Linked DNA regions of Drosophila melanogaster. Changing the gene in region 2 together with the main gene of any one other region gives a genetic interaction. Each region holds a gene or a part of one and is shown on either strand. Other genes may lie near its edges. The genes, in order: ATP7 and MTF-1.

The links.
Region 1: of MTF-1 (region 2) and ATP7, changing one suppresses a phenotype caused by changing the other (phenotypic suppression), as found in Drosophila melanogaster (one study listed by BioGRID).

What each region holds. Positions count from the first base shown.
Region 1 is NC_004354.4:11,853,207-11,858,200, forward strand, and holds the start of ATP7 (ATP7), read left to right. Parts: upstream 1-1,815; 5' UTR 1,816-2,145; coding exon 2,146-3,115; intron 3,116-4,994. Other genes in the region: CG10347 (uncharacterized protein), read right to left, coding at 1-135, 195-1,452.
Region 2 is NT_037436.4:9,428,264-9,433,462, reverse strand, and holds the start of MTF-1 (metal response element-binding transcription Factor-1), read right to left. Parts: upstream 3,152-5,199; 5' UTR 2,942-3,151; coding exon 2,130-2,941; intron 1-2,129. Other genes in the region: RpS17 (ribosomal protein S17), read left to right, coding at 3,766-3,768, 4,138-4,289, 4,349-4,589; Shc (SHC-adaptor protein), read right to left, coding at 5,029-5,199.

The DNA.
Region 1 (4,994 bases), on a different chromosome or scaffold from region 2:
ATATGGAGGCGTCGACGCCCTGGCGGGTAGCAAAGGCGGCTGGAAAGCCAGGACGCAGCGTGGTGGTGAGCACCAGTGGCGGGGGACCAAGAAAAATAGTGTGGGTGATGCACCCGCTGGTCAAATTGAAGCGTACTAAAAGAAGAAAATGTATTTATTAAGCATATGCAGCAGATGTATAATAGAATGCTTACCCATCTTCATTTCTTCATCAGCGGATATTAAGTCACATTCTTCAACGGGATCCTGCAGACTTGGAATGGGCAGTGGTGGAGCTTCCATTGGATGTACTTCCTCCGCTACGTCATCTTTCTTCTGCGCGAACAAACGTGGCCAGTTCTGAATCTCCGCCTTGGTTAGTGACAATTCTAGGCCATTCTCAGCCAACTTAAATGCACTTAAATCATCTCCCACACTGGCGTATAACTCTTCGTCGAATATAACCTCATCCAGATGCTTTACAACGACAGTGGTTTTAGAACCGCTCACGTTAAACTCTTTAGCGGATGCAGTTGAAGGAACATTGAAACGAATGAGCACATTATTATCCGTTTGGGACCAGCTATAACTAGGTGGACCTCCATTTTCCAGCTGGCCATCGTGATCACCTGAGGAATTCAAGCGGGCAGCGGCTGCTTCATCGGCTGCCCGACGCTCCTCGGGAGTCTGAACATCGCGGTTGCTGGCAATGACTAGGGACTCGGCGCGAGGCTCAAAGGCGCAGTAGTGCACAGAGCCAGTGGTCTCCAGCCGTTGACAGATATTATATGACCACTCGTCATTGGTGGGCGAATGAGTCCACCGTGCCCAGGTCAAGTCCATGTAATAGACGTGCGTCTGATCTTGGCCAACTGCATCACGGCGTGCCACATGACCGGCCACCAGCGAGATCTGCTTACGTTCCTGCAGCACATCCAGCCGGGCATCGAAGAGTGCAAAGCCGCGATGACCACTGTTATTATTCACCGGCGAGCGTGTAATCCGTTGCCACTCCTGCACATCGGTGCGCGTTCTGTCGCCGGTGTCCACCAGATGGTAACTGGTTATACCGTCGCAGATCACACAGAATCGTTCCGAAACGAAAACTATGGTGTAGTTGTAGTCACCCGACCGATGTAGTTCCCCATCGCCCTGATCCCTATAGTCCACCGTGAGGACAACGCGCTGGGCACGTGCGCGTCCAGTCTGTAGATCGTAGTTGCACTGCACCAGCTGGTGGCGCTTGTTAAAGAAGTAGCTGCAGTGGCGCATCCATGGATCGGCTACCAGGTGATTGTGTCGGGCAAAGAGCTCCGTGTGCAGCAGCGAGAACTGATTGCTGCTCGGATCCAGCACGTAGGCATCACATCCAAGTTCCTGGCGAAGAACAGGCACCGAATCGAATGCCAATTTGTAGCCAGAAAAGTCCGAGCACACCAGGTTGCGATCCACTTTCAGTTCCACCACCGGCATCTTGCTTTACTGCGCCAATGCTGAGTTGGATTATATTGGAGATTTCGAAAAAATAGAGATAGATATTCCAAAACAAATCAAATCAAATCGGTAGTAGACCGGATAGAGATGGCAGATGACCGTTCGGCCGTGACTCGTATCGACTTTTTATCGACAAGTGGGGGATATGTACGATACCTTGGCAATTTTCAAATCTAATAAGATTCCTTTTTTTAGTTTGAAATTTAACTAAACAATTAAATAGCTAAAAAGAAAACATTAGTTAGTCACATATTTTTTTATCGAATCGAAAGTTTAAGCAATGTATCGATATAGCCCACATCGGTATCTAGCTCATCTCGATAGCGCCTGCCTATCGACGGACGGCCATCGGTAGTTGCGTGCCGTGGGAAAAACATAACGGGAGCGGAGCAGCTGTTGCCTGCTAATTGAAAAATTAGACACAAGAACGCAAAATTGTGAGTTTCGTGTGGAGTTTGGCCAAGTGAAAAGCGTTGGCGGGAGGCGACTACTCCACCACAACAAATCCAGTAGTAGCTGCAATACGACTCACCCGACTCCACAAAGTTAGTTTAGTGACACAATTCGGTACGTGCGATAGGGCGAGGGGCAACTCAAAAGTTCAAAATCTCAAGTATATCAAGTAATTCCGCATCGTCGTGTTCCGCCCACCCAAAATAATGCACATTGAGGATGCCAAGTGACGAGAGAGTAGAAGCGACGATGTCCACGGTGCGCCTGCCCATTGTGGGCATGACTTGCCAGTCGTGTGTGCGCAATATCACAGAGCACATTGGCCAGAAATCGGGAATCCTTGGCGTGCGCGTCATTCTCGAGGAGAATGCGGGCTATTTCGACTACGATCCCCGACAGACGGATCCCGCCCGGATAGCCAGCGATATCGACGACATGGGCTTCGAGTGCAGCTATCCAGGGGATGCAGCAGATCCTCCCGAAACTCCCGCCAGCGCATGGACCAACATACGGGTGGTGGGCATGACCTGCCAGTCGTGCGTGCGCAACATCGAAGGCAATATCGGCACCAAGCCGGGCATCCATTCCATTGAGGTGCAACTGGCGGCCAAGAATGCCCGCGTTCAGTACGATCCCGCCCAGTATGATCCCGCCCAGATAGCCGAGCTCATCGATGACATGGGTTTTGAGGCTAGTGTGCAGGAACCTCGATCGCCATCCCAATCGCCGTCGCCCGCCCCCGCCTCATCACCCAAAAAGAGGGCAACTCCTACTCCTCCACCTCCTTCATATGCTCAAAATGGTTCGGCAGTGGCCATACCCGTCGAACAGGAGCTACTGACCAAATGCTTTCTGCACATCCGAGGCATGACGTGCGCCAGCTGTGTGGCCGCCATCGAGAAGCACTGCAAGAAGATCTACGGCCTGGACAGCATCCTGGTAGCCCTGCTGGCCGCCAAGGCGGAGGTCAAGTTCAATGCCAATGTTGTGACGGCCGAGAATATAGCGAAATCAATCACGGAGCTGGGCTTCCCCACCGAACTCATCGATGAGCCGGACAACGGCGAGGCGGAGGTGGAGTTGGAGATTATGGGCATGACTTGCGCCTCCTGCGTCAACAAGATCGAGAGTCATGTGCTTAAAATAAGGGGCGTGACCACCGCCTCCGTCACACTGCTAACAAAGAGGGGTGAGTGTTTTTTGTGTACTTAAGCTAAGTGGCTTTCTGGAACTAGTTTATCCCGAGAGAATTTCAAATCACGTTCTGGGTCATGCATTCGAATCGAATTGCGAGTCTGGAAGCATTCCACAAGTGGCAGTGCCAATTGTTATGCAATATTTATAATAATAAACACCTGGAATGGGGCCATCAACCGATATGCACCTGTTGCGCTTTATTCTTGCCCAACGAGCACAGGTGTTAAATTCGATCATATATCTTGTATATCTTAAGGGATCGAATAATGCAATGGGAGTAATGAGCTGTAACAGAAGCAAACTATTGGCAATCGTTAATTGATGCAACTTGTGGCAATAACAAATATTAAATAAGCCATTCAAGGGAATTTCGTAGAATGCCCTTATTTGTTTTGCATTTCGCAGAAAGCGACAGCTGTTCCTTTTTATTAACCTACTAGCATCGAGTTCGAGTAGAATCGGTGCAAATGTTTTTTTTTTTTTTATTGTTCGCTTTTCACAATTTCCACAATTGAAAACTGGCCCAGCAATTGTTTATTGCAACTGATATACTCGATTTACTTTATGCTTTTTTTTCTGGGGAGGGTGGCAGGTTCGTTGATAAGAAAGTGCGAGGAGCACTATACTCATATGCATGTATGTATGTATGTACTTTATAAACCATACACTACTAACTATGCTTTCAGCAAACAATGCCAGTGGCAACTAGATTAAATAGCTGGAATTCACCACGCTCGTGTGCGTGGGCAGTAAAGCTATCTGGAACACTTGGATGAGGGGAATTCAATGGCAAGCCGAGAGTCGGGATATTTAAAATATTCAAGATATTCGCTAAAAAACACATAATATAATTATTGTTTTGTTGGGCGCTGGCAGCTCGAGTTTTATTTGCCAGATTATAGCGTGTTTTTTGCGAGTGTTCAGGAAGAACTTATATATACATATTTATGTATGCGATTAGCTGACAAAGAACAAATGAAATGATTTGAGCTCTTTGTTTTCATAAACTTTATACTGCCAATCGCATTTACCAATTAGCATTTAAGCCATGAAACTGAAAGTCCGCCTGGCCAAAGAAAAATCAAAACAAAAGTGAAAGAGCTCCAATACGCCTTGAAATACAAGTACATACATATAATGTATGTACATATATATGTATGAATGTATAATAATTTATATACCCGCGATTGGCGGGCAAACGAGCGAGGAACTAATCTCGCTTTTGTCTGGAAAAAAAGAGGGAAACCTCTCTCTTTTTCAGCTTTGCAGTCTTTCTGCTCCGCATGCGTGGCCACGAACTCCACTTCCACTTCGTACACAGCGAGAAATGGGGCTAACTATGATATAAGTATTATATAGAAGAGTGCTATCTACTTCGGCATATGATCAGCATATAAAATCTACTAATATTTAAAAGCACGAATCGTACAATGTTTAGCAAGTTTCTTTTATTTTATGTTAAGCACGCACTTTTTCTTCGAGTGCATTTCTAGTTTCATTCACCTTCACTTTGATTTAGAGCTGTTTTTACTTTACTTTTGCTTTGCCAGCTCAAAAATGTTGATTTGAAATTAGTGAACTAGTGGCGAATTATGCAATAACTTGGCTTTGATCCACCACATTCACATTGAATTCTGGCTGATTTACGAATATCGGTTTGCATACCCGTATTTATGTATGTACTAGATGTACGTGCGCCGTTTTGAGAAGCTCAATTGCAAATTCAAAAATGAAAATGCATAAATGGGGAGCCTCGTAATTATGATTGCAATGGAACTGGTTTTCGATTTTTTCGCATTCGACATGGAGACATGCGCACGGTGGAGAAAAGCGAGCGAAACTGTTGCGATTAAATGACACTGAAAATAATT
Region 2 (5,199 bases):
TGGGCGCTGAGACGGCTGGCATGCTGACTGACGGGCAGCGTGCGTCCCCCACGGACCCTTCCTCATCCCTTTTGCCACCGGCTCACCCATCGAGATGCCCCTCCCCCCGCCCCCTCTAATCATGGGAGTACTGAAAAATGAGAAATATGATTGAGGGAACACTACTCATGGCGGTAAAAATAGCAAGAGGGCGTCGTCGCCGAACGGGGAGCACGGCAGGAAGGAAGGAACACAACAAGCAAGGCACGGATGAAAAATTGAAAAATTATTGTACCGCAGAATAATGAGCTAGCGAAGAGCAACAACAATGTAGAACGTAGCGAACTAAGCCCATCACAACAGATCATTTGGACTTAGTCGCGGGAAAATTTAGTTTATGACCGATTCCGCATATCTTTTGAAGGGTTTCAATCAATCGGGTACTTTACGTATCAGCTGGTCTAAGTCTATCTATTACCCTGTACATTTTATCAGTCGATTTCCTGTATCATCCATATCTATTGAAATGTGAGTAAACATTGTGTAAACCCTTCAGCATTCGTGACTTATCACAAAGTTGTTAACTAAGTTTCGGGAGAACTGATTTGCTTTGTATTTATATTAAAAGCCCTATCAGCTGTACATGTTATTTAGCCTATTTCTAGAGAATAAAGACCTTTGAGACATTTACGATTTTTACCCTTTGGGAAAAATAGAATATATAGAGAAAACTTTTTATAGTGCCAAATCGCACTTTGTTGGGGGAGAATTTCACAATAGAAGCCACTACAATTTGGATTCTTTTGAAAACCGGCTTCTTTACATCAAGTGTTAATGAGTTTCGGGGAAATTTTCGGTCGTCTTCGCCTAACACATTGTAGAAATATACATCTATGTATGCATATGTATATCCATCTATACATTCTGCTTGGCATTTGGGGTGGGGGTAGAAATCTAAATGCGTTCATCGCCGCAACTATTTTTGGCCCAAACAAATGATTTTCGATACAATCATCAGCCGAAGTGGAGGCCCAAAGGCATGCAGCCATTATGATGCCCATTGGCACATAGTCTCGGTAATATTGGATGTTTGCGACGAGGGTATGCGCTGGTCGAGTCGATTGAAGCGCGCAGAAATGCAACAGGCTGAGAACACAAATCAGGCAATTAGCAAGCAACTTGCAAGCGATTCGGACACCGCGTTGTAATAAGTGGACATTGGAACGCTTGAAATTTGCCAACACAAATTCTCGACAAGGAAGAAAATATGAAAATTCGATTTTGCCTCTTTTTTTTCGTGGGCAGCCAAACAAAAAGTGAAATAAAATTTAAAAAAAAAATCGGACACGTCACGACAGACGCTAGGCAAATGTTTTCCTTTTTTCCGCGCTCTCTCTCTCTCTCTCTCGAGAATCTTTTTGTGTGTGGGCAGTGGAAAATTAGCAGCGAAGAGGGGCGGTGGTGTCCCTGGCGGGGGTCAGAATGCGGAGGGCAAGGCACACCTGACGGCCCACTATAATTGGCCAAAAAACGACAAAAGCACCAAGCACAAATCCACTCATACATGACACTAAAAATATGCAATTATTATTCCCGTTCTGGCTTTTGCACCAAATCGAAATTAAGTGATTTTTTTCGTAAGGCAATCGAACGATTTCAAGGACTGGCATAAAATTAAATATTAAATAATATCGGCAAAAAAGTGTATATATTTTTAATATTTCATAATTCTGTGCTCTAATCATAACATAAATTTAATGAATTAATTATGTGCTCAAAGCTTGAACCAAATTCAATATCTCAAATAAAATGCTTTGCCAAGACTTATGATTTATTTTGATTTTTTGAATTCAATAATTTTCCTTGAATTTTGTTTAAAATATATGGCAAAATTCTTGCTTCGATATATATACAATATGCATACACACATATGTACGAAGTTTCGAGAACCGATTTTTTAAGGCAATATATAGTTCTGAATCTATATAAAATTATAGTTACATTTTTCTACACGAATAATATTGCAATTCCAGAACGGGTTGTTGTTATCATATCTATAAAACACCACGCCTAAGCAAAAAAACATTCCAAATACAAGCAAATCATAAAATACACATGCAGCGGTGGGTGTACGTGCAAGTGGGGAATACCTCGTCTCAATTGTGAAATAAGCTGGAGAATTGGATGTGGAGTCCCTAGAGATGCTGTTTCCAGTTCCCTGGTCGTTATCACAGTTGATTGGAGGATTTGCAGCCTCGTTGGGGCTGGACACCATGCTGAGCGAGACCACAGTGGGCGGCTGGACTTGGACGAGCCTCTGGTTCTCGAACTGGTATTCCAGCGTGAAGCAGATGTCATCCAGATTGAACACCTGGGCGGTGATATCGCTCAGACTGGCTATCAGCGGAACTTCAGAGTGGCTGGAGCTGAGATTCTCGGTGGTATGGTGATATGTGATGGGTATGACCGTGATGGGCAATGGTGTTAGTTGATCCGCAAGCGAAAAAGCGTTGTCCGCTGCCGCAGATACAACAACTTGTGAATGGCCATGAGTTTGAGATGCAGTGAGTTGATCCTGGGCACCGAATAGGTCGCCATATGTCGCCTGGGCGTCCCCCGTATCAAGGGTGAGGCCCAGATTAAGCACCTGTTGCTCGCCACTTGTGGATTCCGCCGTCTGGCTGCCGTAGATGCTGTAGTTGTCCCCATGGATGATGCCCAGCCCGTCGGCCTCCAATTTCGGTTCGAGCAACTGAGCTAGTGGCCTGTCGAAGTCCAGGGAACCAGAGGAGGAGCAATTGGATGTGACGGGCGGGGAGCCGGAAAGCGAATTGCGCGACGAGTTGGTATCATAATCCCGGCTGTCTGATAACGAATTTCCATGACTATTAGCGGTAGTCTTCCACTCGCTGTGGAAGTAGTGTTGTTGTTGTTGCTGGTGTTGTTTCTCTTGGTCGTTCATGTCGTATTATTTGTTATTTGCACACCCACGCACACTAAGACAAACGCTTGCTATATCGCATATGATATGCAGTTGTTATTCTCTTTCTCTGCTGCCACCGTGCAATATGTACATATATATAGATTGCTAAAGAAATTAGAGATCGCGAGATCGAAAAGCACACATCCGCGATCGAAAAGCACAAGCAACAACGATAAGAACCAGTGTGACCATGGGCGGAACGACAAAATATAACGCGGTTCTGGCTGAAATATACCATAAACTGGGATATACCGAAAATAGTGGAACGCAAAAGGGGACACCGCTTAGTGGGGACTCAAACCGCGTGTAGAGTTTTAGGCGGAGTCTCCAAGCGTGGTGTGAAATTGAAACTAAGGTGTTCTAATTTAAAGAATGAATAAATTTGCGAAACCAATATACTGCCGAATAGACTTATTTTTAAAGATTTTATATATTTTCTTATAAAAAAGAGTTTGTTTCATAACAAGTATTCTAGCCCATATTTAGGTACCATTGCACTGTACAATAGTCTCATTTAAAATGTTTAGTACAATAATGCGGTTTTTGTTAAATAATGTGTTCTAAGGTTCAAGTCCTCTCTTATTTCTATTTAATTCATCTACCTTCGAGATTTGCATAATTATGGTATATTTGCGGTATATTTTAGTATGTTTTTCACACAACCACCCTGGTCACACGGCATCCTTCTTTTTCTTTCGTTTCCGGCGAGGTATGTGCACAAATTTTGTTTCTCCACGTTTTTCTTAAAAATAATTGCTTATTTCTCATTTTAGCGGTGATTAAAATATCCATCGAGCAACATAATGGTACGTACCAACGAAAAACTGGCTGAACTCGAATCAAAAAGCGGTCAAACAAGCATAAAACGGCAACGACAGCCGCTTATCCCACGTGCATAGTGCCAATTTTGTTACCCCAAAAGCAATTATTTGTATCCGGCGTCTTGAAACCGTCCTTAATATCAATACCAAATAGCAATTCAAACGGAAACTTTAAAAGAAACCTAAACTAAAACCGAGTGAAGGCCTCTTACATTAAAAGTCCCCGAAAAATGCCGCAACTATCTCAGAAAATCAGCTGCAAATAACTATTTAGTTGTGACAGAAAACTATCGCAAAGATACAACAAAATGGATTGAACTATCGTGATACTAAACATTTTATCAACTACCACAGGGTCGCGTACGAACCAAGACGGTGAAGAAGGCCGCTAAGGTCATCATCGAGAAGTACTACACTCGCCTGACGTTGGACTTCCACACCAACAAGCGCATCTGCGAGGAGGTGGCCATCATTCCCACCAAGCCCCTGCGCAACAAGATTGCCGGGTAAGTGCCGCTCAAATCTCGTTAGTGAGTGGATCTATAATCCCCAAATTCCTTTCCAGCTATGTCACCCATTTGATGGGCCGCCTGCGTCACTCCCAGGTGCGTGGTATCTCCATCAAGTTGCAGGAGGAGGAGCGTGAGCGTCGTGACAACTACGTCCCGGCCGTCTCCGCTCTGGAGCAGGACATCATCGAGGTCGACGCCGACACCAAGGAGATGTTGAAGCTTCTGGACTTCCACAACATCCGTGGCCTGCAGCTCACCCAGCCCAACACCAACAACTTTGGTCGTCGCAACTAAGATTTGTATAGCGCGTAGATGATGATGTTCTGATTTGCATGGGATCACAATAAATTTGTGTGAAGTGCATTTAAAGTGTATGTTTTTGTGTTTCAATTAATTATGCGTATTCGATTGAAAAATATCCAAAGTGAACATCGTTTCCAAAGTGGCTCACCAGGCAGGAAACTCGATCTAAATTCAAGAACCCCAAGTCTGTGTTCCGTTTATCATCTTTATTCGCATTCGAATGGAAAATACTGTAGACATGCACATATTTGTAAATATGTTTATATTCAATCCATAAATATATGGGTTCGTTTTTACACAGACGATATATAAAAGATATTCTACGAGTGCACAATATTTAAATCTAATCGTGTACGCTGATGCCAGTATATATAATTATTTGTTATGTATATGATGGGTGGTAGCTATACGTATGATTGTTCCCTCCGGTTCAGGAAGATGCTGATGTAATGGGCGACGCAGCCTGATCCTGCTGGGGTCTTCGCACCGGATTACGCAAGACCAGCTCGGAATCCTCCGAAATGATGGGCAGCGCGTGTGCCCAGTGGTAGTTGATCAGATGGCTAATGCTGTCGAAGATGCGATCTTTGGTTCGGACCAC